Oreochromis niloticus: one gene and its partners. Each later gene encodes a partner of the first gene's protein in a complex. Links are inferred from orthologs where the notes say so. Each region holds a gene or a part of one and is shown in the gene's direction. Other genes may lie near its edges. The genes, in order: prpf6, lsm5, lsm6 and lsm7.

Region 1 (8,234 bases):
CATGTAGGTCTGACTGACAAAAGTTGTGAGATTCAAATAGGAAATGCATCGACACAATAACCAAATGTGTTTAGCTGTATGTGTAGACACAATGAGAAAAGATAATGTGGGTGGAGAAATGTGTTCCTGAGGTGAGAACTGCACCAATTCAGAATAGTTATATATTAATAATATGTAGTAAGGATATTGGTAACAAATCCAATATTATAGAGGAGTAATTTCTCCTGTTTCTGTTAATGTAGCATGGCTAGATCTACTGCTATTATTTTCAAATATATGAGGACACATAAATATAGTTTAAAATATTTTTTAATTGAACCACAATGGATAAAGAAGAGTAGTGTATGAGAATAATCACATTTTAATCCTTTTTTCTGTCACCCACATGTACTTGTAGTGGCTGGTTTCAGGGCAATAAACCAATCCCCCAGTCTCATTGTATTATCATTGTATTATCTCGAACACTATGTCTGTTATTATGCTCACAAGGGAACAGGTGTTGTTGTTTGTTTGTTTTTGTTTTTTTTAGCAGACGACTGAAAGGCAATGCAAAGTTGGATTTTGTGATATTAAATGACGAGACAAGAAAATAACATTAAAGTTATCTAATCTCTCTCTCTCTCTCCCTATATATCTATATATATATATAAAACACCCTTTTGTGTTTGGTCCCCTGACACCTCCACGATCAGAGAGAATCCAGGTTTATTCCACACTTTATAATGCTAAGAAATGGCTGAATCCACACTGCATCTTTCTCTGTCTTGGTCTCTCTTTCTGTCTTTTTCACTATATTTCTTCTCCTCTCCTCTCAAGAAATTCAGCAGCAGAGAAAACAGAAGGCATCATGAACCGATTCACCGTGTCTAAATAACCCCGCCGTCTCGAGCAGACAACAGGCAACGTGGCAGGAGAACAGCTTCACTCAATAATCTCGTTTATCTATTCACCCATCAGGCAAACAAATCAGTTGTACTTTGGATTGTGTTAGCTGTCAAATGTAATGCAAAAAATATGAGAAACCTCTTATCAAACCACAGTGAGAGTAATTCACATGCTTCCATTCTTCTCCCACACTGAGCAAAAACTAAATGCCTACAAGGAGACATGTAACATGGCATGTGTGCATAGGCCAAACAAGCCTTCTCCCACAGACTCGTGGCGATCCTATTACTGCTTAAGGACAGGAGTGGAGGGGGTCTTTTTCTTTACATAGCAATTAGCCTAATGCAGCATTAACTTTGACCTGCAATGTGCATTTGCCACGACTGCCTGAACTGTCAATGCATTAGTATTCACATCACAAAAACCACCACCGTTTTCCCCTCCTTTTTACAGTGTCGCAGATCCTGCCTTAGACTAATTATTGGACTATCCTCATTCAAAGCCTTGTTTTACTCAGTGGATCAATGAAATTCTATTTGAACATCTGTTGGCCAAAACAGCTGTAGATAGCCACTCCAAAAGGAAAGCCCTAATAGGAATTTACTGTTGTCCTTCCACAAGGACACTTCTCTTTGTTTCAGAATAATAAACAGCCACTAATCAGCTCTAAATAAATCATTTATCCTCCCAGGACTTTCTTCTACGTATGAAATGAGGCATTGTTAAGGTAGACTGCTTTCAGCTAAGACACAGTCATTGAGTTTAGTATGTCTGCACACTGAAAAATGGTTTTGTCTGTGTCCTATTTTGTGTTTTTTTCCCTTTGTCCACACTGTATTGTAAAATATAATGAGCTAATATTAACTCACAATGAATCACAGCAAAATGAATGATGTGTGTCTTTGTGAGTGTAGGTGTGTGCTTGTAGGTGATGCATTAAGCATATCAATAAACCTGTCATCTTGACATATGCCCTTCTGTGCTTCCTTCCTCCAAACAGCAGCCTTCTTTCAATTAGTGGACTGTAAACATGCTGCTTTTGGCTGAGTTGTTGCATCTTTTTCATTCTTGGTATCTTCCTATTAACCGCTGTGGACCCATTCTTTTGCATTCACATGACACTGTAGACATCTGGTGTAGCACAGGTTGAGGCAGAAAGTCCACTGGTTTCTCCATCCTGAGTTCTGTGCACTGAAAAAATAGATTAAACTGAGTTATGCATCCATGCAAAATGGCCCACATGTAAATGAATAAACATGCAAGAATGCACACATTACTGTATGCTTGAATGGAAATACACCCATTAAAATATTCACAATTACTCTCTTTGTAATTTCACTTGTTTAGAGCACACTTTATTCTTCCAATTACACTCAAGCATCAGTGTATCACCAGATCACAAATTAAAGTATTTATTATGAAATTAGAGATATTATTTTGTGAATCTCTATAACTCAAAATGCATTTTCTTGCTAATTGAAGTGATTAGTCTTTGTTAAAACAAAAAAATAGGCTGAGCCATTAAATTATTGTCTTTCAGCACTGCTTGGTTCTAAACAATGGCTTTCTATAATAATGACTAGGGGAAAAAAGGCTTGCCAGTCAAAATCTTGGTCTCCATTATGATCTATTCTCTTACAAACATATATAGGAAGTTGTCTTTTTCATGCAGATGAGTTGTAGAGGTCAAATGAGTCCCTTTTAGACTTCTGTGTCATGATGCCAAGTTGTCTATGATGCAGGTAAAGTAGGAAAAAAATGTTTTTTTTGTCATTTTTTTAAAACTTTATTAATGCAAGACACAGCTTCCAACTCACAGCTGCATTTACAGGAAGCATTGCCAAATGTTTTATGGCTGCACATCAAAGGAAATGATGATAGCATGATCTCTGGCGAGACCGCCGTTGCTCAGTCAGTCTTCCCAGCCCCGGAGCAGATATCCGCTATCTTCTGCTTCCACTGCCATCACAATTGCAGATTTGAATGTGTTTGTGTCTGCATGTGAGGTGGAGGTTTGTGGATTCCTGCTGGGTGCTTTATGCTTATGGAAACACACTTTTGTTACCAATATATAAGTCAGATTATTGGAGACACCTTTTCTATTCATTTAGGTATAGTGACCATTACTCATGCAGCAGAGAATAATGAATCAGTTATTGTGCAAATTAATCTTGGTACTACACGTGTGCTTGGATCAGGCTCTGAGAAATTCTCACTCTTAATATAGGCCAATACTTTAAAGACAATTTATCATTAATGAGACTGAAGTAGATTATGGCTCAGGACTATGAGAGACTGCAGATATACGATGTGGTGTTTTCTCTGCCACCTTTCCCTGTCAATTCAGGCTTGACATAATTCTGATTTCTATGTGTGACTATAAAAATCCTCTGGTTGAAATCAAACGATCATTGAAATAATCAGGGAAAAGTAAAATAGGCCATACAATAGCTGGGTGAAATAAAGGCTTGAGTTACGCTCCATGTTTAAATTAGTCCTGCGTGAGCTATATATCGGCTAATGTGCCTGACAGTCCATTTTCATCATAACATCTTCTCCCGGGAGTAATATAATGTCTGCCCTTCAGGCGATGTAAATGAAGAAAAATGTAAAAGCCTAAGCCGAGGCTCAGACTGTGCATCAGTGAAGTTAAATGTGATTGAAGCGCAGTGTTGTAGCCTATAGACTAATTTCATCTTATGGGAGGAAACCCAGAAATGTCATGTTAATATGTAATTACCACTATTACAGTTTCCTGTCTCAAGTTTGAATATCCACATTATATAGAGGATAATGGATATTTTTTCACTCATAATGGTAAATAGGTTGGGACTTTAATATGCTAACACATGTCTAAGTTAGTGTATGCATGTAAGTGTTCCATTTTGAAAATGCCATTACTGCTATTTTGCCACTGTGTGTTTCAGTTAGGGTGTTTCTGTGCCATGTGTCCCATCAGGTGGTCAGGTTCAGGTGGTCCATTTATGACACATTGTCATGGGAAAACAAAACCATAAAATAAATGAATGAAATAATGTGAGAAGTTTATTTCGGTAATTGATTATAAGGAACTGCCAGGATGTTTGTACCATTAGGGTTAAGTAGAATGAAGTACAAATATCTCAGAATAAAAAAATATGTAGCTTTTTGGGGTTTTCACATGTCAGATGATAGTTTATGCAACACCATCCATCCATCCACTTATTCAAACAGGCTTGTCTTTGCACTGTTGGAGGAAGGCACAGAGACGCAGGGAGAGCATGCAAACTCCTCAGAGAAAAGCTCCAGACTGAATTTGAACCCACGACCTTCTTGCTGTGTATCAACAGTCGGGCCCTTGAGTTCAATGAGTTTCCATAGCGGCATTATTTTTCAGGATGTGGTGCCCTCTTGTGACTTCTGTGCAAATTTCAATCTGCTGAAAACATGAGTAAAGAAATAAATTCATCCACATAGTCTCACAGCAAGTTGCATTCAAACCAAATCTAAACCAATAAATATTAACCGAATAGTTAATGTATAACAGTTTTGCTATAACTAAACTAAAATAGTATTGAATACATTGTAAAATAAAAATAGTAATAGTAATAATTAATAACCCGCCAGTCCTGTGGGGGCGCTGCCAGGCATTTCTAGACCTTAGGCCTTTTTTTTCCTCGGAACGGAAGTTCGACTGTTGTTTATCCGGCTCTGCATCGTCTCGTCGTGTGAGCAACGATGGCTAGCACTGGTGCAAAACAAGCGCCTAAAATTGTCTCCAAAACTTCTGCGGGAGGCACCGGGGCGGCGGGGGCTAGTGGTGGGCCCCCGATAATGCCCCTCGCCTCTCCGCTCATGGGGAAAAAGAAAAAGCCGTTTCTAGGGATGCCTGCTCCGCTGGGTTACGTTCCCGGTCTCGGCAGAGGGTGAGCTAACTTAAAGCTACATGCTGCTAGCCAGATTGACCCGTTTTTTTTCAGTCGTACTAACCCACGTTAATAATTAGTAAAATTTAAGTACAAGGTAGTTTACAATACATACATTAATTGGTTAATATATATATATAATTTATACGTGAATAAAGTGCATATCGTTTCCCTTACCATGGCAAGTACGCCAGACTATGAAGTTTTTAAATAGTTTAGTGGTTTTATGATGTAATTGCTTTATTAAACGTGAACTATTAAATTGAAATTTAATTCAAATAGAGTTAAATGTCAATATATGCTCTTTCTAAATCCATAGTCATCTAATATGTAATCTGTTTTAGACAAGCGAGCAAAATTTAAGTTAAAAAGTCATAGTGATCAAAATAGTGTTATAAGCATGGAAACGTATGTCACTGTGTTATAGAGAAGAGTAAAGATCTCGCGGTATAATTTTGGCCAGGCTGTGTTTATTTATGTCACATTTAAATTAATGCTTTTCCCTCCAGTGCCACTGGTTTCACCACCCGATCTGATATCGGTCCTGCTCGTGATGCTAATGATCCAGTGGATGACCGGCATGCACCCCCTGGAAAGAGGACGGTCGGGGACCAAATGAAAAAGAACCAGGATGATGATGATGAAGATCTGAATGACACCAACTATGATGAGGTATCTGTGATTTGTTGTAGATAAAGGTGTTTTTTTTCTGAGAGTTTAAATGATCAAGTCACAATTTTAAAGCCGATTTCTTTTATTATGAGCAGTTAATTTGATAATCTTGTCATACTTTGTTGTTTCTCTTGTAGTTTAATGGTTATGCAGGTAGCTTGTTCTCAAGTGGGCCCTATGAGAAAGATGATGAGGAAGCCGATGCTATATATGCAGCGCTGGACAAGAGGATGGATGAAAGACGCAAAGAAAGAAGGTTACAAAAAAGAAGAGTCTTTTGTTTAATTTTTATCAATGCACAGTGTATTTGTTTTCAAATATAATATGGATTTGATATTGCAGGAGTCTTTTGTTCATGGTTGTCGTTGTATTTTAGGGAGCTGAGAGAAAAGGAGGAAATTGAGAAATACCGTATGGAGCGACCAAAAATTCAGCAGCAGTTCTCAGATTTAAAGGTAAGAGATTGACCCTAATATTCCAAACCTCTCTTCTGCATCATTTATGGAGAAAACTAATGTTGTCTTCTTTGTGCACTAAAAGCATGTTAAATGCATTTTGGTTTTATTAGCTTTATTATCATATCTACAGAAGAAAAGGATTAATATTATTCAATGCAATTCTTTGGTTAAATCAGAATCAGAAGGCTTTTTTTAATCCCTGAGGAAATTATGTGATCAGTTTCTCCAAGACTGTAAGAACAGCAGCTAACTAAAATAAATTAAATATGTCAACATACTGCAAAGTTATGCAATATAATAAAATAGCTTTAATATACAAAAATAGCTTTAATTATAAATATCCCAGTATATTACACAAAAGAAATATATACGGTTGATATTGTGGTGCCCCTCTTGTCATACTGTGCTTTTTTGTTTTCTCTGTAGAGGATGTGCAAATAGTAAGCGTGTGCAGGTATTACAGCATACACTGTGCTTTAAATGGAAGAATTGTACAATGAGATAGCCACATACAGGATCGATTATAGTCTCTAAATTCATAATTTTTAAGCAATGAATTCCTGGGCTAAGATCTTTCTGTGAGATAAGCTTAGTCATAGCCTAGTAGTGAAAAGTGCCTTGCAAGTTTGTCTCTGAAACAGTGTTACCTTTTCTTCTTGTTTTACTGAGGAAATAAAATACTGATTAAACTAGAGGTGCTATTTTAATCAGTACAGATATTTGCAGATTCTGTGCAGTAAATCACATTTAGGTTAGTTACTCAGGTATAATCAAACAATCGTAAATGAAAGCAATGCTCACATCCCATTCTTTTCTCCAACATCTCTTTTTTTTTTACCATTTCTCTACAGAGGAAGCTTGCAGAGGTGTCAGAGGAGGAATGGCTGAGCATTCCTGAAGTGGGAGATGCCAGAAACAAGCGCCAGAGGAATCCCCGCTATGAGAAGCTCACCCCTGTCCCCGACAGCTTCTTCTCCAAACATTTGCAGAGTGGAGAGAACCACACCTCTGTTGACCCGTTGCAAGGGGTCAGTATAATGTGTATACAAATGGAAATAATTTTTGTAACTCATATTTACTTCCAAGTGCACTTCACTAAACTTCAGGGTGTAGTTTCACTATGGCCCAGCAGGAGTCAGGATATCTCCTTGGAAAAAAAAAACAAGTTACTCTCCAGTTACAGCAGTTTGCTCAGTTTTTGTCTGTTTTACAGACTGGACACCTGTTGCTACAGTAATTGGTCACATGAACTTTGTTGGCATTTAAAATACATTTGAAAGGGACACTTGATTGACCTGTGCATGCAGGTAGACGTCCATGAATTGAAAATAGAGACACGGCCAGCTGATTTAAAAAGTCGACAGTTGTTTAAGAGGTATAGCCTCTCAACAGAGAAAAAGCCATTGCTTGACTTTAAATTAAAAGATTGAAGTAATTTGTGTCATTTTGCATTGGTTAGAAAAGTGTTACATGATTCGGGTTTTTGTTTCAAGAGCTGTTTAAACGTGCCATGACAGACTTCTCACAGACTGTGTTGCTCCTCTCTGTTGACATTGTTTCCTATCTCTACTAGCTGGGAGGTCTGAACACACCTTATCCAGGAAGCATGACACCTGGTCTGATGACACCAGGGACCGGAGAACTGGATATGAGGAAAATTGGTCAGGCCAGAAACACACTCATGGATATGAGGCTCAGTCAGGTAAATGATGCATTACCTTGCGCAACTTTCACTTTTACTTTCTTCTAGGATTCATGCTGCTGCCATTATGCTGATAGAAACAACTTAACTATTCTCTATCCTGTGTCTGCATGTTTTCTGTATTCAGGTGTCTGACTCAGTGAGTGGACAAACAGTAGTGGATCCCAAGGGTTACTTGACAGATCTTAACTCTATGATCCCCACTTATGGAGGAGACATCAGGTAGAGAGACACTGACGGCATCAGATTGCTATATTTGTGTAAAAGAAGTTGCTCTGTGTATATGTGTTAAATCGCTTGTTTGTGGCTCTGCTTGTTCAGTGACATCAAGAAGGCTCGTCTGCTGCTGAAATCAGTGAGGGAAACAAATCCCCATCACCCACCTGCCTGGATTGCTTCTGCCAGGCTGGAGGAGGTGACTGGGAAGTTGCAGGTGGCCAGAAACCTGATCATGAAAGGCACAGAGATGTGTCCGAAGGTAAAGGAGGTTAAACAGTAAAATAAAACTATTAAATGACAAAGAACATAAGGATGCTGATGTTTTCTGGATATTTTGCTCAAATTAACCCTATAATCTCTAAGTTTGCATTTCTTAGAATATGGCATTAATAT
Region 2 (8,348 bases), on another chromosome or scaffold:
GCCTGCAAAGCAAATACCATGCACATCCTATGATGCAGAGGATTTATGAGCAATCACTCTCCAAAGCCTCAAGCCAACTTGGTGTCACTGGAGTGGCAAAAAGAGATCCAACTACATCAGAGAAGGCTTTGGATTAAGAGAGGAGACTCATGGGGGCAGTCAATAAAAAAAAAAACAACATCTCAATGTGAAGAACACCGAAGACCCAATAAATGTAAAAACACACTCTACATTACTGGTCGTTACCTATAATATTCTTCCATTTCTCAGAGACAGACAAGTAGCTTAAACACCAGAAGGGACTGAAAGTTTATATTTAACAATTATTCTGGTTGACTTTCTGCAAAAAAATCATTTTTAAAGTTCGAAACAGATGTTCCCCACACCTTTTCAAATATTTTTGTCCAAACTTTCTGTCCAGTTTTTCCAGAATCTAGGCCAAATGTGGTATTCAGGATAATTGAGTTTATCCGAACAACACTTTCCAGGTGATTTACTGGTCGGTCTACATTCACACCCTCACCAGCAGCCACAAGCTGCGAGTAGAGATCGAAAGAGTAGAGTGTAGAGCTGCTCCTCCACATCAGGAGGATATATGACATTCAGGCATTTAACCCAGATGCCTGCAAGGTGAGCTGTTTCAGGCAAGTCCACCTGCGAGGAGACCTCGGGGGAGAGCCAGGACACAACAGAGATCAAAATCAGTTCCTAACATCACTTCGCACTGCCACACACAGAAACAGCATTACTATCAGGTAATCAAACTTCATTATAATGGCAAGACAAAGAGAACTGCATGTTTCACATCTAGTTTAATCAGCTTTGCTCCTTTCTCCACTGCCATTGATCGTTTCTCTACTGGGTCAGTTCCTAATTAGCAGGAGGTCCCCATATGTGAAAGCACTTGAAATAATTACTAACGCTCAGCAACAGTGACTATAAGTGTACCTTAGAAAGTTTCATATACACATCACATTTCCTGTTTCATGAAGTAGTGAGAGAGAAGTAAAGTAATTTAACTACAAAGAATGCAATGTTACCAATCGATTAATGCATGAATGACTTCATGAGATATACTAAATATACACTACAGAAGGACAGCAAAACTACTAAGAAATATCATAACTAACAATTAAACTTCAAAAACCCTCCAACAAGACTAACTGGAAACCTGCTGGTCCTGAACACCTCGGACACACCCACCAGCAATGATTCAATGTTTGATGGGGAAATCCTCCCTCAGGGCAGAGTGCCACTCCTCACCCCAGAGAAGTGATGCTCTGAACAGAAATGCATCCATTACTGAGCTTATTCATCCTGAATTGAGTTTATTTTTCATTTATATTTTTAGGCAGAGAGCGAGGAGCTGACATTAAACTATTCTTTTGGTCAATACAGACAAAGTAAATTTCAAATGTAGGAAATATTTCTAAAAATCCAGCTTTCAACTTGTTCAGGAAAACCTTTGGAGTTACAGCCTGGACCCCCAAACACTTAAGCCAGTATGCTTAAGTACTTGGGGTGGGTCCAAAACAGTGGACCTACATGGCACAGTGACAGAGGTTCATGAAAGCAACACCCGCACAAGTGGAACAGAAAACTGCTTAAAGATTAAAGTTAGATTAAAGTTATAGTTTTCACACAGCTGAATAAACGTCACACAGAAAACTGATTAAACAGAAGTGTGAGATGGTCGAGAATTTACTCCAATGTCCTTTTATATTTTAGAAAGCAAAGAACAGATGGCTGAGTTCATTATTAAACTTCACTGAGACAATCTGCAAATTTCATTAAAAGTTTAATTAAACTATCATCTTGTCTTTGTTTTTAGTTAGCACATACCTTAAACACTTCAAGCTGTAAGCTAATGATAGTTATATAAGAGCAGATGCATGCTGGTGCAATAAGATGCACGTTTTACGTCCAATGGATGCATGATCTGATTAGTCGACTAATCATGCAGTTACACACTGAATAATCGGTGACTAGTCAACTATCAAAATAATCGTTTGTGGCAGCTCTACCTTACATTAGCCACATCTTTAAAGTGTCTATGGATGTGCATGAAATGTCCAATTTTGTCCCATCTCGCAGTGGACCAAGCTCCACATTTTGTGGCATTTTCATACAAATCTGTCCATGAGTTACTATGTAATCCTCCAAACAAACACACTGAGCCAACTGCAAAACATGTTAGGGTGCAGATTTGTAATGTATGTGCCAATGTTTCTTAATGTACTGTTAAAAATAAACTTTGCAGATGTAAGGAATTAAAAAAACATGCTTTCAATGTTTTTAATCAGGCTCATTTGTGCATTTTTATTTGTATTTACATGCTTAAAATTAAGTGGGAAAATATAAGTAAACATATTTCTGTGTGATGGATGTTCCTGCTGCATTACTGATTAAGGTTTCCAATAAAAAATACATGTAGAAGTCCTCGAAATCCTGCCAGGCAAGCAGATGGACAGCAGGTGAATAAGAGGAGGAGGGCGGTTGTGAAAGAGAGGCAGAGAAACGGATTAAAGAGCCAGGAACCCAATCTTGTGCCGCCCAGCAGGAGATCGCTGACCCTTATCAGATAACCTCCATCACCTCCATCCCTGAGTGCAGGCCCATTAAAGGCAACAAAGACTGCAAACTGGGTGCTTTGCCAGGGCTTTGGTCTCATCTTTACATCAGGAAAGCTGTTGTTTTATCTTTGGGCTTGAGCAGCAGCTGTTTGCAAAACCGCAGAAAGAAAAACAGATGGAGAGCAGAGACAACAACAACACCACTGAGGAGGAGGAGGAAGTTCAGTGTGTAACTGCACATTTAATGAAATTTGAATCAGCAGCAGAAGAAGAACAAAACAACAATGTGAGGAAAAATTAGAATCAGTAAAGCGGGGGTGTTAAGCTCACTTTACATTAACGGCCACACAGAGTTCAATTTGGTCTTAGGTGATGATTTGTCAGACAAATTATTTTCACAATTAAACAACTGCTACAAATGTGAAATCTTGTAAACCTCCTCGTTGGAGTGTCAAAAAGTTTCATATGCAGTAAAAATCCTTAAAAAGATTTAAAAAAAAATTAAAAGGTAAACACTGAGTGCTCCTGCCCCTCAGCAAGCTTCTGGAAGTCAGCCAATCAAGAGATAGCAAGCTTAAACAGAAGGGGCTCTTTTTAAAGAGAGACTTTGTTTCAAACTGACAAGTCGTGTAAAGGGCCAGTGCAAGATCGAGCAGGAGTTTTTAAAACTTTTTAGTGCAGTCCTAGAATAATGAGTCAGTAATGCCTTCTGTCTGTCTTGTCAGCTGGGCACAAAACATATTTTTCGCTTTTAAACAACAACAACTCCTATAATAGTGACAGTTAAGTGTCTTCTTTTTACCAAAAAGGCCCTAAAATATTAAGTAAACAATGACATGATACCAAGAAAATGTTTCTAAACAGCTCAAAGAAAACCTGAACTGATCGATTAATCGGCTTGTTGTTCCATTTTTGTGCATACCCAGACAAAAGCAGGGTCCAGGAGAAGTGATGATGAGTATGCTGCAGCCTGAGATGAAAACACTGAACTGCTGGCAGCAGACCTCGTGTTATATAACCCTGGGAGCCCACAGCAAACTGCTGTTCTTAACCCCTCTTCACTGACAGGGAAGCCAGGCAGTGAGAAGTCTGTAGTTTTTACTGTTTTTATGTTTATAAATGTCCGCATTACTGCAGGACTGTGCATGCGCTGTTTAAAAAAACAAGCGCATATTAGAGATGTAAGGTGACACTCGTACCGTACAGAAGTTTAGTGAAAATGCACCTTTATGTCAACTCAATGTGAGGACTTGGTTAGCAGTTAGCCGATGTTAGCTGGGAGCAGAGGTTCACGTACCTGGCAGCCTTTTTTGTGGTGAAATCCAACCACCACGATGTGCAGCACCGGCCCCTTCCCTTCGTCTCTGCCCTGAGGCTCCATCCCCGCTGCTGTACCCGCAGTCTATCGTTGTTTTAACTCCGGAATTGGATGTAAACACAGATAACCGAGGCCGACTTTTCTGTCTGTATCTCCCTGAATATGTGACACAGACAGACGGCAGCACCGCAGAGATGATTTTCTCTTCCGCTTAGTCCTCACTGGCCAATTGGGCAAGAGCATCCCCCGCAGCGCACTTCCGTTTTCGCTTACCGAAATTTAAGCTTACAGCTAATTGCCCCCCCAAGGACAGTCTTCAGTTAAGTAGAGTCAATGGAGCAAATTTACTTAGACAATACTTTCTTAAGTGTGCAGACAAAAGCCAACATTTTATTACAGTTTTCAAAATTTCAGCATTGATATTAAATTCAACTTAAAATAAAATTTAGCTAAGCTGTGCTTACTAGCTTTTAGCTGACTAACTGTTTAGTTGCCTATCTTATTCAATTACTTTTTAGCTAACTATCAAACAATAATTTAGCTAGTCATATTTTAGCAGACTAATTAGCTGTTAGCATACAATTAGCTTTTAACTGGCTAATCAGCATTTATCTAATAACCTTTTAGCTAATCCCGTTTAGGCTAACTAATTGGCATTTAGCTACCCTACCTACCCTACCTACTTTCAGTGTTTTTCGTTATGTAACAAAAGTTGAGTTATAAACATATACAACAGGAAGGCGTGTATAAATTACTAGAGATTTCCAATTGTATAATGTTATTAATATAACGTAATAAAAACATTTAAATGACCGATTAAAGTTTTAATTCACTGTTGACCAATGTAACATAATATAATAAGATAACAGTTAACAATTATATTGAGTGTATTTTTTGTCTTAAGCAGGACAAAATGAATGTAAAGGCTTTAAATGCAATCAGGCTGAAGTTCTTTTGGAAAAAGTCACGAGTTGACTAACATTTCCTTCATATTTTCCTACATTTCAATCTGGAATTTCCTTGGATGTTATCAGACATCTTGCCCTAGAATAAAGTCCGGATAATCTGCCGTTAAAGACTAGATAATTAGCTTAGTCTCTTGTGTTTCGAGCTCAATAGAAAACGTGCATGTCACCTTAAATTCCACCTGTCACGGTGAAATAAAGCATAACTATCCACGGTCAGATTTTACAGGGGTGAATTATCTTGATCTCTGTTCTGTTCTCTTTTTTAAACACAAAAATGATGTCATGTGTTCCTCGACACAACCTGCGCCATCGTGTGGAGACATACAGAATAATTTAATATCGTCCTCAGGTGTGTGTGTGTTTTGTTTGAATTTAAAAAGAAGTGTATTATATTTGGTTCCAACCATGAATGTTTGAATTTCTTTAAAAAGTAGACTGAAGATGTTTTTTGTTTCTCCAGAGACGAAATTGTTCTAGATTGATTGATCTTGTCTGGCTGCCACTTCGGTTCTTCTGTCGATTACTTCTGGCTTTGTAGAGGGAAGTCTCTTGATTGAACATGTCGGCTACAAACCCGTCGCAGCTGCTCCCGCTCGGTTTGTAAAATCTCTATGATGCTGTGTTTTGTTCCTGACGTCTGTGGGTTTAAATGAGGCTGTTCCGAGTCATCGTGCGGCGGCCGCAGTTTAAGCCGCGGCTCACTGAAAATCATTTTCTAGGCAGATGTTTGCTAGTTAGCATTAGCATCACGCCGGTAGGGAGCTAACGTTGCGGCTTTACTCTCTGCAAGCACAAACAAAATGCTTCTTATTTGATTTAGTTTGTTTATTAAAGTGTCAGAGGGGAGTTTCTAGCTGAAAAGTTAAAATAAAAAAAAAAACTATCATTTTTGTAATGGTGATTTAAAGAAATAATACGAAAAAAAGCTGCTTTTATCTGTGTCAATGTGTTACATTGCACTTAATGAAAACGTAATTCACAGATTTGCCCTGGCATGTTCAAAATACATTGTCGTCCTTTTATTTCTATTTAGTTATAGGTGATGCTTTTTAAAATATGTGTTTGCATATTTGTAATCCAGTCAAACTTCTATTTTTTATTTTATTTTAAGGGGATCGGTTTAATGTTATATCCATGTGACTAGGAGGCTATTATTAAATATTTATGGTATTTCAAAGGGTTAACTGTTGAGTCCTTAAGAAAGATAGACACCAGTTAATAAAGCGGTTAAGTGAAGTGTAAGAAGTAGAAACACCCACCTGAATTACAGGATGTGTAATTTCTCTGTATTTTTCCTTTTGCAGAGCTTGTGGACAAATGTATCGGCTCCCGAATTCACATCGTCATGAAAACTGACAAAGAAATTGTCGGCACCTTGCTGGGCTTCGATGACTTCGTCAGTATCTTTTAATTAAAACGTGTCCAAATGAGCGAGTTAGTGCACACCTAAACACCAACAATTTACAAAGTGTTACCGATGTTACTGTATTGTTCTGTACACACCATAAACTGTTTGAAATCATCCATGCTGTGAGGTGGAGCTGATGCAATGAGAAGCAGTGAACTATCGTGCTGCTTTTTGTTTCTGTTTTATTTAGAAATGTGAGAGAGGACACTTGCAGAATACCATTGGCATAAAAAAAAATGTGTAGATCTGTACAATGGGGGACAAATAGACTGATCAAATAATTTAAGGAAACAGTCAGTCATCACAGTACAACACAGAGTTCAACGTCAGGCATGTCAGTCTGTCCAGGTAGGAGTAATAAACCATCATAAATCTATTTCTGCCAAATTGGTGCAAATTAAAGTAACAACAGGTTGTGAATTTGATAACTTAAGAGGGAAGTCAGCTAGGATTTTCAAATTGATAACATAGGTGCACCTTCTAAAAGTCTTGGAGTTTGAATCTCGGTGACCTTGACTTCAAGGTCAGAGTAAGTTTTGTGAAATTCTTGTGAATGCGATAACTTGAGAATGAGGGGACATAGGATTTTGAATTGATACCACAGTTGTGTCTACTAGGATGAGGAGTACCGCTGGTGGCCGCCAGTTAATTAATGAATTAGTTAATTAATTATTAGGGATTAATAGGAAGTAGAAAGGCTTCTGTAGATGGGCGCTGGTACTGCTCACGTCCACGTCTCCACATCCTCCTGCTCGTTTGTGTAAACCTTCTAGCTTTTAGCTGCACTTTGATGTCTCTTTACTGTTTATTGTTGCACAGTTTGTCTTTAACTGTGTGTGTCAGACATGGTCCTGGAGGATGTGACAGAATTGTAAGTACTCCTGTTACATTTTTACTCTAACTACACCTTTTCTCGGGTTCACTGCTGACTATATTTATAAATGAATGTGTTGCAGTGAAATCACACCAGAGGGGAGGAGGATAACCAAGCTGGACCAGATCCTCCTCAATGGCAATAACATCACCATGGTAACCAAACAAACATCTGATCATGTCCTATAATCCCCCGTGTTTTAAACCTTGACAGGATGATTTATGGCGGCATATTTTCTCTTCTGCAGCTCATCCCCGGTGGAGAAGGACCAGAAGTATAAATGGCTGGAGGCCGGTTAATCTTCCTGTGTTGCTGTTCCTGACTTTATTATGTAATTATTATTGTTGATGTCTTGTTTTTTCTTTGGGTTTTTCCCTCCTGATCCTGAATGAGAAAGATATTTTTGTAATAAGATTCCTCACTGATGAGAGGTGCACATGCCGAAAAGTTTTTCTTTGTTAAAAATAAATCTGAGGATGTCACACAGTCTGAAAAACACTTTTCTTTATTCATTCTTTACCACACAACTTAAAATTTAGTGCAAATCTTGGTATAAAACCAAAGTGTTACCATGAAACAGCAGAACTAAAAACCCCCCATCCAGTTGTTTATGTATTTATTTTAAATGTTTATCAAACAAAGAGCCGGATACTTGATTGATATTGAGTTTAGCAGGTGATCAATGCAGCTGAAGGTTGTTTAAATTCATCCCAGTGGCTTTTCCCGTTCCCCGGGAGCCTCAGTACATCGAGGGCTTCTCCTCTCCTTTTGGGTTGGTCACCTTCTCCAGGTTTTTGCTGATGATGTCATAAAGCTCGGCCTGAGGAAAACAAGCAGAAATGCAGGTAAATAATCGACTTACAGCAGCTAAAAATACATTGTTAGTGATTAAACTATTTGAAAATCAGTTTTTCAATCTTATAGAAAAACTCAAATATTTTATTTAAGATCCATTTTTTTCCATGGTTTAAGTGTTTGGGGGGAAAATATAAATCTAGGCTTCTTACGTAGAAGCCGCGGATGTCAAGAACGATCACTCTGATATCCGAGTAGATGGCCTGATCCTTCTCGTGAACGAGTGAGCGGTAGTCCATCTGAGGGCAGAAGAAAAGAGTTAAAGGCATTTTTAAGATTTCCTTTTTGTTTCATAAACTTCAAGGCTCGAGGCTTGTTGGGGTGTTCAATGATGAAAAAGACCAAAACCAGC
Region 3 (8,071 bases), on another chromosome or scaffold:
TTCAGCCTAAGCAAATTATTGTAACAGATAAATATCAGGCACTGACACAGGCAGGTGCCAAAGAGCAGGTATCCATTACTCTAAAATACAAAATTATATATATGTATAAAACACACACATATATAAGACACATGAAGCGCAAATGAATACAAAATTAGAATACAGTGAGGAAAAACAATCAAACATTTAAGACCACCTGAAGCAATTTGACACCAGAAAGGGAAATCTGCTACTTACCTGAGAACATGTGCTGATTAAAAGCAAAAACAATGAAATTAGAAACAAAAACAAAGCCTGTTGATGCTTTTGTATTTGCATGTGTTTATTTATTTATTATTTTTTGAATCTGCTGTTACAGCATATGTAAAAAAAAAAAGACTTGGCATCTTAGACATACATTACACATGTAATGCATAGGCAGCAGAACAGTCTGGCGATCACTGACAGGTTAACCACAGATACAGCCCACAGTGTCAATGTTTTAATTAAGCCCTATTTCAGCTGACTTATTAACCATCATTGGTGGATTTTGTGCTGGTTACAGGCCAGAAGCACTTTTCTCAGCCTGTGGATTATACCCGATTTGCCCGTGTAAGCTCACTTCAAACATTTTCTCATTATATTTCCACTAAGATCCAAATCAGCACGAGAAAACGTCTGCATTAAATGCCGGTCATGAGTATAAGTTTTGCTTTATCCACAAACTTCATGACTTGGACATTTTTTTTCTGTTTTTATTAGATCATTGGTTTTTATTATACTACGAGATAAAACTAATGAGCATTTGCATTCAGTGCGTTCAAGAATGGAAGCGAATAATCAGCGTGCCGCGTTTCAAAAAGCAAAAAGCCACTCTTCGTTACAACTATAGGATAACAAAGGACAACTACATGTTAGCACGCAGAGGTCATTTCTGAAGGCCATGGAGAAAAACTGTGGTTTTTTTCTTTCCAAAAATTTTCTACAAAGCAAGCAACGACAAAGGAAACAAGGGACAAGGGGGAAAAAAATCTTCATTGAATATTCATTAACCGGTGCCTAGGTGTATACATGGCTCTTAACCACTCTTGTTTATGACTTAAGGACTTGTAGTACTGACCTTAGTTTAACACAGCAGCAGATACCAAATTAACCTCTAGCCTCCACAGGGCTAGCCATGCCCTGCTAACAAGCAACCTGTCTAGACACACAAGAAGTACTTTATGATTCCACCTCTCACAATCCCCCTCTCTCTCTCCCTCTCTCTCTCTTTTTCTCTCAACCTCTCTGTCTCTGCTAACACGTACTGGCACATCCTCGTGCCCTCTATCCTCTTCTATCTTTCACCTCACCATTTCATCCCTATTTCCCCCCCTACACCATTTTTCATGTACCTCCCAAGCTGTGCAGTGTTTGGGTCACGCACCCCAACAACCAGAGTTTTTATCAGATGGTAGACTTTCTCTTATCCTTCACAGCACAGCTTACCAATAGCATAATAATAATAATAATGGTAATAATAAAAAAATAATAATACTATTACTATTATTGCATTATACTTTTTTAAAGCTATAATGCACTTTATTTATTTCTATTTTAAAACAAGAGAAATTCCACAGTGATTTAAAAATGTGTAAACCCAAAGTGAGAAACACTCATAAACGTACTTTAACATATAAGTAAACTTCTGTAGCTTTTAAAGATTTCCACTGAAAATTTAGATTGAAATTTATTACATTAGGTTAAGCTTTTTGATTAAATTAAATGAAACTTTGTCCATATGATTAATGTAGAATTTTACATTTGTGCTATTTTGATATATATTTCATTCTGATAAATAATGAATAATTTATTTTAAAATGTTTGTAAAAACAGTCCGAAACTTCAAAATATTCACTTTCACTGTCATCAATCATTTTTTGTATTTATTTGTTTTTTATTATAAAGCTTGATTTGATATTAACATCCAGCGATGAATAAGTAGAAGGACCAATCAGGCCAATCTAATCAGCTCTCAAAGGAGATGGCAGTTATGTTTTCGACTGTACTCACACATCAGGTGTTTCCTTCCTTGTTAGCAGATCTGACTTCATCTCGGTGTGCATCTGGTCACCATTCAGCTGTCGAACAGCAACTATTTTGCAATAACAGAGACAGTGACCAGAATCTGTGAGGGTCTGTAGAAGTTTTACTGTTAAATTTACGCATAATGCAGTTAAATAGTATCAAAGTCAAACGTGTGAGATTCAGAGTAGTTTCATGGACATTTAGGGAGAAGCATATTTACCACTGTGTTGCATCACCTGTACATTTTACAACACAACCTTAAATTAAATTGCAGTAATTTAGACCACAGAGTTCTTCCTTGTTCTTGCTTGATATATAATTTCCGTTGTTTGTGTTCTCTGGAATTGTTTTGGGGGTTTTTTATTTTGTTTTTTGCAATGATCCATTTTTTTTTATTTTGTTTTTTAGTGTGTAACAAAAACAAACAGGAAGGACTGTTTAGCACTGAGACTCTTTTACTTTACTCTTTATGATGAATATGCAAAATATGTACAGACATCTTCTCACTGAAATAAGCAATGATTCTTCTGAGAAACACATCATTTGGACTGCATAGCATATGTTGCTTGAAAATGTGTATTTATCCCTGTGTGCCCTACAGATGTGCAGGTTAAACATGCCGCGTGTACTAATGCACATGACCATCACAGATCTCAGCTTTTGAACTATGTGCTGATAAAAATCTACTTTCTTTGCATGGTAGTGTTTTAACTTTCATTTGCTGAGGCAGTGACAAATAACATCCATCCTTCCCTCCATCCATTTATCCAATTCAGGGTCGTAGAGGGGGTGTAGCCTATCTCAGCTACCACAGGGTGAGTGGCAGGGTACACTCTGGACAGGTCAGTAGCCTGTCACAGACAACCAGACATGCAGTTAGTGGGGTTAGGTTAACTGGTGATTCAAAATTGCCCATAGGTGTGAATGTGAGCACGAATGGTTGACAAATAATATTTTACTGAAAATGGACCTTGACCCCATGCAGTGATTTCTACTAAAGCATCATGTCCATTTTTAATGTAGTGTTAGCTGAGGGCCCATAGATCATGGCCCGTCAGCAAAAATTTTGGTGAAATCTTTATCGATTCTCTGATTGATTAATTGCTATTATGTACCACAAATGACCACAGATTTTTTGCAGACTCAACATTTCCAGTATGCTTATTTTTTTGCCCATGTACCTGATAGTCTTATAATATTTTCAGTTTAGACTCTGATATGTTGCCTTTGTATTTTTTTCTTAATTACAGGCTTCAAATGATTTGCAAATTACTGCATTTTTTTCTTGTTTACATTTTACAGCATCCAAACTTTTGTGAAATCATAGCTTATAATATATATTGATGTCACCCATTAAGTTTAACTCAATTCTGCCTCAGGATCATATGCATTTTTAAAACAAGGCAAGCACCTAAATGATTTTTTTATATTTTAATTTAACAAGACAAAGAGGTATGAAGTACCAACATCATTATCTCTGTTGTTATTATTAATATTCATCCAGAAATTGCTCTGATTTCTTCTTATTTGGGTAGTGATTTTCTGTGCTTTAACCAGAATCCAGATTCAAATGTTTTGTTTTCATCATGCTCTTTCAGCCTATGGTGGTAATTATGTGAAATGATATATAGAAAACGCACAGTTCCAAATTAATGACTAACAGGAGGAAAAGAAAGGTCCAAAAAGGAAGCTGATATATATATATGTATATATATATTATTTTGCTGGACTAAAATTCATATTTCCTTTTTCTTCATAATCTTCTCTTTGCACATCAACTGTCATGGCTGGGAACATAAAAGTACAGGTGATGCTGAACACAAGGCTACAGTGTTGCAAGAGCCTTAAGCACATAAAAAACGGCATGCTCTGAGAAAAGTATTTAATCCCTTACAGATTCCTTTTTTTCCCTCTTTTTTTTTTTGCCACTTTGGCACACTTACATGTTTCAGATCAACAAAGAAATTGTAATTTTAGACAAAGGTAACCTGAGTAAATACGAAATGCGGTTTTTAAATGATGATTTGATTGATTAAGGGAAAAGACTATCGAAAGCTGGCCCTGCGTGAAAAAGTCATTTTCCCAAAACCTAATAACTGCCTGTGGCACCTTTGGCTGTCACTGTGGTTCGTTGGAGTCACAAAGCCTTAAAAATAGCTTTGTAACGTTTCTTATCAATTCTTGAGATTTTTTTTTTTTTAGATTAAGGAATGAGGAATGGTGTGTTGCTTTTTGAAATCTTTCACCTTTTACACTTTGTCAGACAGCTTCTACTTAAGTGATTTCTTGATTCAGCAGGTCTGGCAGGAACCAGCCCTGGCTGTGACTAGGGAAAAGTTACCAGTTAATTCATGACTTAACAAGGGGAGGGATTATTTTTTTCACATAGGACCAGATAGCTTTAGAAGCTTTTTTCCTATAACAAATGAAATCATAATTTAAAAACTGCATTTTGTATTTACTCAAGTTATCTTTGATGACCTGAAACATGTAAATGTGACAAATATGCAAAAAAAAGGGCAAAAAATAGAGAAGGCTCAGGCAAACATTTAATCACAAAACTATAGCTACTTTGTTGCCAGTTTGATACCTGATTATATGATTAGCGATCAATCAGTTAAGTTTTTTGTCCTCAGCCTCTTTCCGTACAGAACACGCTTGTGATTGGTCAATCTCACGTCCATGCTAAATACAATTGTCTGGAAAACCTCGGTCTGGTGAGTGAAATGCTAACAAACATATTGCTGCTGCAGATAAAATTAAAGGGTTTCTCCTTGTGTTGTTGGGTGCAATAAAATGTAAGCAGGATTTTCACAAAGACAGCGACCCTCGCTGCGCAAACAGATTCACGGGAAAATAGTCGGTTAGCAGGTTTGTTATACTCGTTAGCTAGCTAGCCGCTAACGATACTAGCCTGTTTGCGTTAGGAAATCGTTACTATTACAGACATGAACACGAGTTAGCTTTTGTCACGCTAATGTAGCTCCATGAAATAAATTGCTACTATAGTATCTAATGCTCATCTTTCATCCTTTCAGATCACAGTCAAAATGAGCCTGAGGAAGCAGACCCCGAGTGACTTTCTGAAGCAGATCATTGGCAGACCTGTTGTGGTCAAACTGAACTCTGGTGTCGATTATAGAGGTACGTAACAGCCTAGCCACTTGTTTCCCCCCCAATACTGATCGGTAAGTAATGACTTTAAAGGAAAACACGGTGTGTTTGTGTACCTGCAGGTGTTCTGGCCTGTTTAGATGGTTACATGAACATCGCCATAGAGCAGACAGAGGAGTATGTCAACGGGCAACTCAAGAACAAATATGGAGATGCCTTCCTAAGAGGAAACAATGGTAAGCTTGTCCCTTTTATGTAGACTTTGGTATTAAAATTTGAGGCAGTATAGGTCTTCTGTAAGAAGACTGAAGTGCATAATTAATATGATGATAAAATAGAGTAGAAAAATAAATGCAGGTTGTTTATGTTTCTGAGGCCATCAGTTTTTTCTCTTAATGTCTGAAACTGCAACTCATTCATGACAGTTAAAAGGAGCAGAAAATATGACAAACACAGGTGAGGAGCGCAGGTTAAAGTGTGATCTAAAAAGGTTGATCAGCCAACTTACCCAGAAAAGTAACCTTCTCTGTAGGATGTTCCTCTCAAAACAGGAAGCTGTGGTCTGTCTGATAATGACTCACATTCAGTGCTTGCTTATTAATTCCGTTTAAATGAGGGCATACATTATGAATGACACGACTCGGTTCAGTATGGTGCCATAACCTTTTAGCTATGTTCTGGTCTAACACAACTCCTTTTTTTCCCTCATAAAATAAATTTGTACAGCTCCAGTAAGCTCTGCGTAAAAGTCAGTCGTGAACAGTAACCAGAATCCTGAAACTGTAAAACTGAACTCAGAAATGTGTTTTACTATATTTTTTTTTTAATTTTTTATTTGCACTAGTACTTTTTTTCTCTTTAAACTGTGGAAAAGGTCTCTCGCCTTCTTGAAAGTATTGTGAGGGTTAGCCAAATGGTGATAATTAGTTAAAGATAAAAAAAAAAAAAAAAAAAATCCCACTCAAATTAAATTGGTCTTCAAATTAAACTTTTGCCTGCATTGATTTTTCGAAGTACATCATTATATGATAATAATCAGTAGATATCCTGTTAATGACAGTAGCTGTTAGCTGATGCCCGAGCTGATTTATTAAGATATTTTTAACTCATTAATTATTGTTAAAACAACACATTGTTAACACAGCTCTTGGGAACTGCCCTTTTTCACTCATTGCATTTTCTTGTGTCTTGCTATATTTTTATGAAACTTTGTATTAATATTCTCCATGTTGATCAGCATAGACAGACTGGAGCGAACTCAAACTGTACAATGGTTTTGTACAGAGACATTCAGATAAAGTGGTGTGAAAAAGTGTTTGCCTCTTTTTGATTTCCTATTTTTTTGTATGTTTGTCACACTTAAATGTTTCACATTAAACTAATTTAAATACTAGACAAAGATAACACAAGTAAACACAAAGTGCAGTTTCTAAATGAAGGTGTTTATTATTAAGAGAGAAAAAAATCCAAACCTACATGGTCCTGTGTGAAAAAGTGATTGCCCCCCTAAACCTAATGGGCCACCCTTAGCAGAAACAACTGCAATCAAGTGTTTGTGATAACAGGCACTGAGTCTTTTCCAGCACTGTGGAGGAATTTTGGCCCACTCATCTTTGCAGAATTGTTTAAGTTCAGCCACCTTGGAGGGTTTTCAAGCATGAACCGCCTGTTTTAAGGTCATGCCACAGCATCTCAGTCGGATTCAGGTCAGGACTTTGACTAGGCCACTCCAGAGACTTCATTTTGTTTTTCTTAAGCCATTCAGAGGTGGACTTGCTGGTGTGTTTTGAATCATTGTCCCAACTCTGCTTCAGCTTGAGGTCATGAACAGGTGGCTGGACGGCAGAATTCATGGTTCCATTTACTACAGCAAGCCTCCAGGTCCTGAGGTAGCCTCAGACCATCGCACTAACACCTTTTCACTGTTGGTATATGACATTCCTTTTCTAAAATGCTTTGTTCGCTTCATGCAAGATGTAATGGGACACACACCTTCCAAAAAGTTCAACTTTTGTCTTGTCAGTCCAGAGAGTATTATCCCTAAAGTTTTGGGGATCATCAAAATGTTTTCTGGCAAAACTGAGGCTGTTCCATGTTTTCGCCATTTGTGGATAATACCTCTCATTGTAGTTCACTGGAGTCATACAGCTTAAGAAATGGCTTTAAACCCTTTTCAAGACCAAGAGGTTGCAATTACTTTGTTTCTCGTGTGTTCCTGAATTTCTTTGGATTCTGGCATGTGCCTGGCTTTTGAGGATATTTTGGTCTACTCCACTTTACATGATTTCTTGATTGAGAACAGGCGCAATACTAGTCAGGCCTGAGTGTGGCTAGAGAAATTCAACTCGACTCAAACTTTGCAACGATGTGATACACCACAGTTAATTTATGTTATAACAGGGTGGGGCAATCACTTTTTCACAAAGGGCCATGTAGGTTTGGATTGGTTTCCCCTTAATACTAAACACCTTCATTTGGAAACTTGTTTACTTGTTATCTTTGCCTAATATTTACATTTGTTTGATGATCTAAAACAGACAAACATGAAAAAAAAAAAAGGAAATCAAGAAGGGGACAAACACTTTTTCACATCACTGAAACTGTCCTGAGACAGAGATTTCATGTTTAATCACTGGTATGCCCTTTTTTTTCAGGATGCATTAGATTCAGCTCAGTGTAAGGCTCTTGTTTGCAGAGATAGTGTAATACACTCTGTATTTACCACAGTAGTCAGAACATTTTTTTTAACTGTATTGTTTACATCTACATCTCTGTCTGCATTTTCTAGACACCAGGCATGCACTGTATCCAGTGTGTGATTTGATCTTGAATGTGAGTCATGCAGGCCGGTGTTTGAGGCTGCAGATAGTGCTATTTTAGTCAAAATAACCAGTACAACAAACTATACAGA
Region 4 (7,570 bases), on another chromosome or scaffold:
ACGTGAACCGTGTGTGTCTGTGCATCGTGTCTTTTTCTCACAGGCAGCATGATTTCCTAATCGGGTCTTTAGTTTTGTGCCTTGGCTGCTGTGTTTTAAACACTATGATATGAAGTCTGTGAGCTACTAGGGTTGCCTTTTTTGAAACAACACACAGGAAAGGCCTTATTGTAACGTGTGTTACGTGTTTTTGCGTTGTCATTTCTACCTTTGGAAGCCATGAACCTGATTCACACAGATGGGCATTATTGAGCTATTTTAGATAGTGGAGTTAAATACATAGATGAAATGCTCCTGTTTAAAATGAATGTAGAGATATTAGGAGCTGTATCTTTTAATATTTACCAGATTGTGTTCTGATGCTTGCATACATGTCTTTTCCCACCGTGCTGCTGCAGATGAACACATCATGTAATTCACTACCGCTGTATTAGTGGGAACTGGTGAAGGTGACTGGGTGAACATCCAGTCATCATTTATGTAACGATGGCTGTGATAGGGCTAGAAACGGGGCGTGTCTGTGCAGGGATGTGATGTCACTGAGGCCCACCGCACAACAGGGGGTTTAAAGTGAAACGCTGGAGCGCTAAAAGGGTCGATGCAGTGAATGAGACTGAGACCCACCGGGAGGTTGTTTTTAAGAAGACTGTTTTATTATGAGTGTTGATTTGTGACAACTTGAAAAGTTTAAATAAATGACTTCTGAATAAAACTTGTACAAATTGAGTCAAACTTTTATGAAACACTTACATTTTGTTCATACAAATGAACACACACACACACACACACACGCACGCACGCACACACGCACACACACAGGTAACCATACACAGTACTGTGCAAAAGCTTCTTTATGTTTTGCTATCGAGGTGACAGACTGTCTCGGTATGTTTTTAAAGTGCTCTTGAGCAATATTGCTCCAGGCTTCATGAAGGTTGGAGGTTGGCTGCTTTTTCATTCACTTTTATGTTGTGCAGTGTGTCCTTAAACATCTGAACAAATTGGACAAGTGGAGGATTAAAGAGGTGGCGGGCCTGTCTACAGCACATGAACAGTCTCTGAAAGTCCTGTCCTAAAGAGTTAAATGAAAAAAAAACACACAAGCAAAGCCCTGACACAGGACCTGAGAGATGCATCTGGCCCGTCAGCTGATCCATCTGCTGTTCGCTGAAGCCTCATCAGAAATGTTCTCAGTGGAAGGGTGGCTGTCAACAAGCCATTCTTAGGGAAAGGAAACAGGGAGAAAAGGCTGAGCTTTGCCAAATTACACACAAATTGGACTTAAACTTAGTGGCAACGAGTCTTGTGGAGTGAATCTACATTTGAAATGTTTGGTTCAAATCATGGCCAGTGTGTACAGGAGAGGTCAGGAGAGGTCAGGAGAGAGGTACAGCAGAGTGTCTACAGCCATCTGTAAAACACAGTGGAGGCTCTGTCACGGTTTGAGTCTCAGCCAGTGGTGTTGGGGTGTCCTACCTCACTACCTGCATGAATCTTTTCTGAGGTCGTCCTCTTTGCCTCCTGCTTGGCAGCTCCAACTGTACTTCTAGCTCCATCAGTCCTCGTCGCTCCAAATGAAAATCTTAACTCTGCCACCTCCAGACGTGCTTCTAGTTTTTTGTCAGGGCTAGTCTCTCCAACCTATACATCACAGCAGGTCTTGTAGCTTCTTGCTTCTATCCTTCTGTCTAAAATCACTCCTGACACTCGTCTCCACCCACTCCACCCTGACTGCACTCTCTTCTGGACTCTCCTTTTTCTTGGATGGTTGATATTAAACTGATCTACCTTCACTATCACTGCTCTTTGCATGTCTCCCTCTCATTCACACATGTGTATTCTGCTTCTACTGACTTTTACACCTCCACCTGCTCAGACTCTTCCGCCTGCTTCCTGCTCTCACCACACTTTACAACCATGCAGTAAAAGCATACCTGATAGAACAAAACACACTGGAACACTATCAGTCATGGACTGGCCTCCACAGAGCCTGGAACTCAGCGTTATTGATCTCTGGGATCATCTTAGTAGAGAATGGAATAAAAGAAGAGCTTTGCATGTCCTTCAAGAAGCCTGGAGAACTATACCTGAAGACTACTTAAAGCTTGCCTGAGAGTTCAGCCTGTGCTTTTTAAAGGTGGTCAGACCACATATTGACTTTCCCTTCATGTTTGCACATAAGTTGCTGCACCCATTTCCCATTTTCCTGACCAAATATAAAGAAAGAGGGATGGCTCGAGAGATTTGCACAATATTCCACATTCATCATAGAGCATCATGGGAGCATTCTTACGGTGACACACCCTCTGAGGGGCACGGGACAGGGTATGGCATCATCGACCTCAATGCAGGTGTCTATGTAAGGGTCCAGCAGCACCATGTTTGGGAATGCTTTGTTACTCTTTCTCTCGCTGACCAGGTATATCTGCCCAGTGACTGAGGAGCAGCCACAGAAGAACTTCTTGTTCAGACATTCCTCCTCCAGCACCATCCACTCATCTGTCTCCATGTCAAAACGAAGGGCTTGGCCCCCGAACAGGTAGAGGGCACTGTTGAGCTCCGTGGCAACCAGGTCATATCTAAAGAAGAATTAAAAAAATATGAATCTTTCTGTTTAATTGTCAGCTAATCATCCTGTATCCTTTATTTTGACATTTCAAACTTCATAAGAATGTAAACCTGGCAGTATCAGAAAGATACTCACCGTGGAAATGGAGAGTAGGAGACCACATCCCACTGATCCTGCTTCACCACATACCTCTGAATTCCACCATAAACCTCGCCGTTTTCATCCAGGCCGCACGCCACGTAGATACACGACCCCAGAGCAGCAGTGGCTGCCCTCTCTACGGCCCTGACCATGGGGCTCACTGCCTCCCAACCCTCCTCTGACCCAAGGACCAGCCTTTCTACATCATCCACAAGACCTTCGTCCATACTTCCCCCCAGGACGTACAGGACTGACTCGAGCCCTATGGAGCAGTGGCTGTGTCTGGACTTCTGCAGGGCTGGCCCGTCCACCCAGCGCTGGTTCCCACATTCGTAGATCCGGACCCAATCCACACTGAACCACAGAACATCCCGGAAGTAGCCACCTGTCACGACCACACTGTCTCCTAAATAAAAAGGAAATTTACAAAAATCTGTGAAAATGTAATGTCCAATATTCATGTAAGATAATAAAAACTAACTTAAGAATATTAAAAATACTGCACATGAAAAATAAGCACAATCTAACTTTTGCCAGTTTCATTATCATATTATCTTCATTATGCATCCATTACCCACTGCAGCCACGGAGTACTGTGTGAGGTTCTTCCTCTGCAGAGGCGCGCAGCTCTGCCATCTACCATTCATCGGGTGATACTGGTACAGCGCCTGTTCTTCCTGATCATGAGGCCCGCCCAGCACGAACAGGGTCTCTCTGGCCCTGGTCCTCCTCATTGACCGGCCCACTGACCAAGATGCTGGGAAATGTTCATTGAGCTTTAGGATGAGCCTGGCTCTGGGGTCAGAGCTTTTCATTCTGGTCAAGAGTTCAGTGATAAAAGGCAAGGACAGAGACTCGGGCCTCACCAGCTCAATGAGCTCCAGGAAATATTCTTCTCGTTTAGGGTCAAATGACACCCAGCGCAGTATTGCCTCCAGAGCCAGATCGTCTTTATGGATGGTTAGGTCATCGCTGGCAAGTAGATCTGCTACGGACTCTTTTGAGAGTGACAGAAAATCCTCTTCAGCTGAAATAGCAGAGAAGTGAGTGAGCACCACCTGTCGTGCTGCGGCATGAAGCTGAGTGCAACCCAGCTGCCAGGCGTAGGCCATCATCCCCAAACAGTTGCTGAGGTGCAGCTCACGCTCCAGGAACTTACAGCACAGCAGCCTGGCTCGCTCCAGCTGTAAAAAGTCGGACGTCTCGAGGATGCCCGTAACATTTTCTCTGTCCAAAGACAGGCTGCATGTTGTGGTATATTCCATCAAGGTCCTGAAATGCTGCAGACTCACACCTTTAATCTCTACCTGCCTTTTGCTGCTCTCCAACCCACAGCCAAAGAACAGAGCCCTGAAGTAAGGGCTCTGCAGGGCCAGATGTTGGCGGTTGACATAAAAAATCTCTCCTTCTACTTGTAGACTAGCATCAGGTGTTATATCAGCCTCAGAGTCCTTCACATGTGAAGCAGACTCATCCTCTTCTTCTGATACAAGCGTCAGTTCAAAGCTCTGCAGTTTCAGCTCATGGTCACCTCTGTCAGCCATGTCACAACAAACAGTCACCCCTCCTCCTGTCTTCTACACGGCTCCCCGTCCCTCTGCTCTCCAACACACCAGCTGGTGGTATTAATAGACTTTCCCCTTCTCGACCCACGTCTGGCAAAGGAAAAGGAGGTCAGATCCAAAAGCAGATGCTGATTATAAAACTGTGAGTTATAATATAAAAACTAACTCACGATACCATCCATATTAAATTAAATCATGAAGAGTCAATAAAACTATTTTTAAAAAGCAGTGACGTCAAGTAAAAGCGCTCGGTGTTTTGATTGGTGGAACATTCTTGAGGTCGAAATTTCACTTCCGTGTCACGCAGCTAACATGGCGGTGAGTTCGTGCATTCAAATACTTTTCTACCTTTGCACCCTTTGACGTTGTCAGATATGCTGTTAGCCCGTGAGTGTGTGTTTCAGCCGTAACCACAGATGTAAATCAGCACATTATAAGTAATATAAGGTGTTTTTGTTGTATCACGTTAGCTAACACGGCTAGCCTAGCTAACTGGGCTCATGCTCAGCTGGTGTTTGTGTGCGCGGTTAGCACACACGCGACTCACAAACGGCGTGTTTTGTTTTCTCTGCGCAGGATAAAGACAAAAAGAAAAAGGAGAGCATCTTCGACTTGTCCAAATACATCGATAAGCCGATTCGTGTAAAGTTTCAAGGAGGACGAGAAGGTAGGTGGATTAGTTATGATAACAAGCTAACAGGTAAGCAGCTAATGGAGACTTTACACCATGTATTTGTTTCCTCCTCAGCCAGCGGTGTCCTTAAAGGATTTGACCCTCTGCTGAACCTGGTGCTGGACGGCACTATTGAATACATGCGCGGTAAGTGTGCGCTTTAATGTCAAGACCATGGAAGGGGAAAATGGATTTACAGGGACAAAGAATGACACAAGACTGCGCCAGCACTGAAAAGTGTTTTGCGTTTCCTTTAACCTGAACACAAATGAATCATTTGCAACACTGAGGCAGAGCCCAGACTAACCTGAGTGGTGCTGTGATCACATCTACTCAAGGAGGACCCAGACTTGTAAAGTAACACTGCTGGTGATGATGAATATATGATGAAAGAATTTAGATGGTCCCATAGTTGGGAAATTTTATTTAATATATTGAGTCGAGCTGTGTGTTTAACCAAGCTTTGCTCACACTGAGGCTGGTGGTCGGCTGAGCTATGACTGCTGCAGCCTTCAGTCACACTGAGGAGTTTCTGTGCTAAAGTCATGTCAGCGTGTGGGTGCAAGTGTGAGCCCAGCTGAGTTAAATTAAAGTTTAGTTGGTGGTTTTGACACCACAGTGAAGTTAGGGTTGAAAAAACTGATGGTGGTGGTGGTCAGAGGGCCCGGTGGCGCCAGTGTCCGGCAGCCTCGCCTCTGTCAGTGCGCCCCAGGGTGGCTGTGGCTACAACGTAGCTGCCATCACCAGTGTGTGAATGGGTGGATGACTGGATGTGTAAAGCGCTTTGGGATCCTTAGGGACTAATAAAGTGCTATACAAATACAGGCCATTTATAAATACAGGCCATATATTTAAACTGATCGTGCAGCATCGGCTGCTGTTGTAGATAATGTGACGCTTACTTGTGTGCTCCTGCAACTCTTATGTTTAGATCCAGATGACCAGCTGAAGCTGACAGAAGACACCAGGCAGCTGGGGCTGGTGGTCTGCAGAGGAACCTCCGTAGTGCTGATCTGTCCTCAGGATGGCATGGAAGCCATACCAAACCCGTTCATACAGCAGCAGGACGGCTAACACACAAGCTCTCCCCTGCTCACTTACACGTACATGTACACGCTTGAATATTTAGTTGTTTCTTTCCCTTAGTTTTTATTTCGTTTTAACAATAACGGTAATCATTAATGGAGCCAAGCCGATTTAGTTAAGCAGCAAAAAAACGTTTGAATGCACTTCACTTTTATTTCAGTCTGATGTGCAAATTTGTAAAGATTTGTGTTGTAAAGAGCCCATAAATGTGGGATGTGTAAACAGTACCATTTTCTTTTTATCCAGAATAAGTGAACTTTTTACTATTCTTTGTTGTTTTGATAAGAAAATAAAGTGAAAATGTAATTATGCCGACTTTTGGAAGTTTTGCTCTACTCTCCTGGCTGCACAGCTTTACATTCAGAATTACAGTTGTGAAATCGACCACTTTAAATGTGATTTAGAGATTCCTGAAAATCGTCAGCATGACTCAGCTGCTGCTGCGAGTTAGATATGGCTCCATTTTTATCTCATACACTGAGTTTCACGTGTTCCTCTACGGCGCGGGTTCTCTGCCATTCCACATGTCAGGAAAAACTAAGTCACACCCCAAACTTTTAGTTTTTAATCATTCAGTGAAACCAAGCAAAGACTCAGAGATACAGACACAGGTGTGACTGCATCAGCAGTCTCGTATTTATCCTTCCTAAAAACGGCTTTATTGAAATGAGTTCCTGCTTTATTTTTCTCCCTTTATCCAGACTCCAGCTTCTGTGGCTCGCTCCACACTTTTGGACCCACTGCTCTACAGCTGAGCATCACTGCTTGCTGTCCAGCTTAGCCGGCAAAAAAATACGTCAAACGCTTAATAATGCAACGCCAATTCCAAAACAGTTGGCATGTTCTTTAAAATGTGCACAAAAACAATACAATGATTTGCAAATTTCATAAATCTGTATTTTATTCATAATAAATAATTTAAACGTGATGTTTTCTAAGAAAATGTGCCATTTTAAGATGTGATGGCAGCAACATGTTTCAGAAAAGTTGATATGGCAGCTACGAAACAGAAGTTGTGTGTGTATGTAGTTGTAAGAAACAACTGTTGAAAATTTTAAAACTTAAAGACTCAATATGTCATCAAAAGAGGCCACGAATCTGGGGAATGCCAAAAATTAAAAACTTTATTAAAAACAGACATGTGCCTGTTGTGCAAATCACTGCACGGGTTCAAAAACACTGCGTCATCCACAAATGCACATTGAAGAGAAGAAGAAATCATCCGAAGAGAAAGCCACACGATCCAGAAACATCCCGGCCTTCTCTGGCGGAAAACTCAGTGTGATGGAATTTGAATTTAAAATTCTTATTTGAAAACTTGGACTAAAGACGAGAGGGCTTGTTGTGGGCACCAAGCTCCAAAGGCTCCATCTCTGATGTTACAGGGGGGTGTCAGTGTCTGTGGACGTGGACTATCTATGCTGAAAGGTACTTACAGGTTTTAGACCAACACGTGCTCCCATCCACTGGTGTCTTTTTTCAGGGAAGGCCTTGCATATTTCAGCAATACGATGCTGAAACACATGAATCTATTAC

What was found.
Region 2: prpf6 (region 1) and lsm5 share a complex: the UniProt entries of both Homo sapiens proteins name them as parts of the U4/U6-U5 tri-snRNP complex. The link is inferred for Oreochromis niloticus from reciprocal best matches to the Homo sapiens genes PRPF6 and LSM5.
Region 3: prpf6 (region 1) and lsm6 share a complex: the UniProt entries of both Homo sapiens proteins name them as parts of the U4/U6-U5 tri-snRNP complex. The link is inferred for Oreochromis niloticus from reciprocal best matches to the Homo sapiens genes PRPF6 and LSM6.
Region 4: prpf6 (region 1) and lsm7 share a complex: the UniProt entries of both Homo sapiens proteins name them as parts of the U4/U6-U5 tri-snRNP complex. The link is inferred for Oreochromis niloticus from reciprocal best matches to the Homo sapiens genes PRPF6 and LSM7.

The regions. Positions count from the first base shown.
Region 1 is NC_031984.2:16,006,618-16,014,851, forward strand, and holds the start of prpf6 (pre-mRNA-processing factor 6), read left to right. Parts: upstream 1-4,554; 5' UTR 4,555-4,602; coding exon 4,603-4,790; intron 4,791-5,299; coding exon 5,300-5,462; intron 5,463-5,599; coding exon 5,600-5,718; intron 5,719-5,838; coding exon 5,839-5,917; intron 5,918-6,771; coding exon 6,772-6,948; intron 6,949-7,493; coding exon 7,494-7,622; intron 7,623-7,749; coding exon 7,750-7,844; intron 7,845-7,943; coding exon 7,944-8,100; intron 8,101-8,234. UniProt on the Homo sapiens protein: Involved in pre-mRNA splicing as component of the U4/U6-U5 tri-snRNP complex, one of the building blocks of the spliceosome.
Region 2 is NC_031974.2:8,914,927-8,923,274, reverse strand, and holds lsm5 (U6 snRNA-associated Sm-like protein LSm5), read left to right. Parts: upstream 1-5,071; 5' UTR 5,072-5,208; intron 5,209-5,319; 5' UTR 5,320-5,418; coding exon 5,419-5,455; intron 5,456-5,494; exon of another isoform or gene 5,495-5,613; intron 5,614-6,163; coding exon 6,164-6,259; intron 6,260-7,110; coding exon 7,111-7,138; intron 7,139-7,223; coding exon 7,224-7,296; intron 7,297-7,388; coding exon 7,389-7,421; 3' UTR 7,422-7,637; downstream 7,638-8,348. Other genes in the region: late secretory pathway protein AVL9 homolog, read right to left, coding at 3,871-3,954; psme2 (proteasome activator complex subunit 2), read right to left, coding at 7,881-7,961, 8,149-8,235. UniProt on the Homo sapiens protein: Plays a role in pre-mRNA splicing as component of the U4/U6-U5 tri-snRNP complex that is involved in spliceosome assembly, and as component of the precatalytic spliceosome (spliceosome B complex).
Region 3 is NC_031971.2:16,285,333-16,293,403, reverse strand, and holds the start of lsm6 (U6 snRNA-associated Sm-like protein LSm6), read left to right. Parts: upstream 1-4,609; 5' UTR 4,610-4,763; intron 4,764-4,776; exon of another isoform or gene 4,777-4,917; intron 4,918-5,084; 5' UTR 5,085-5,096; coding exon 5,097-5,190; intron 5,191-5,282; coding exon 5,283-5,396; intron 5,397-8,071. UniProt on the Homo sapiens protein: Plays a role in pre-mRNA splicing as component of the U4/U6-U5 tri-snRNP complex that is involved in spliceosome assembly, and as component of the precatalytic spliceosome (spliceosome B complex).
Region 4 is NC_031986.2:44,793,271-44,800,840, reverse strand, and holds lsm7 (U6 snRNA-associated Sm-like protein LSm7), read left to right. Parts: upstream 1-4,514; 5' UTR 4,515-4,587; coding exon 4,588-4,593; intron 4,594-4,851; coding exon 4,852-4,942; intron 4,943-5,023; coding exon 5,024-5,095; intron 5,096-5,879; coding exon 5,880-6,022; 3' UTR 6,023-6,347; downstream 6,348-7,570. Other genes in the region: kelch-like protein 23, read right to left, coding at 2,276-2,579, 2,705-3,116, 3,285-4,254. UniProt on the Homo sapiens protein: Plays a role in pre-mRNA splicing as component of the U4/U6-U5 tri-snRNP complex that is involved in spliceosome assembly, and as component of the precatalytic spliceosome (spliceosome B complex).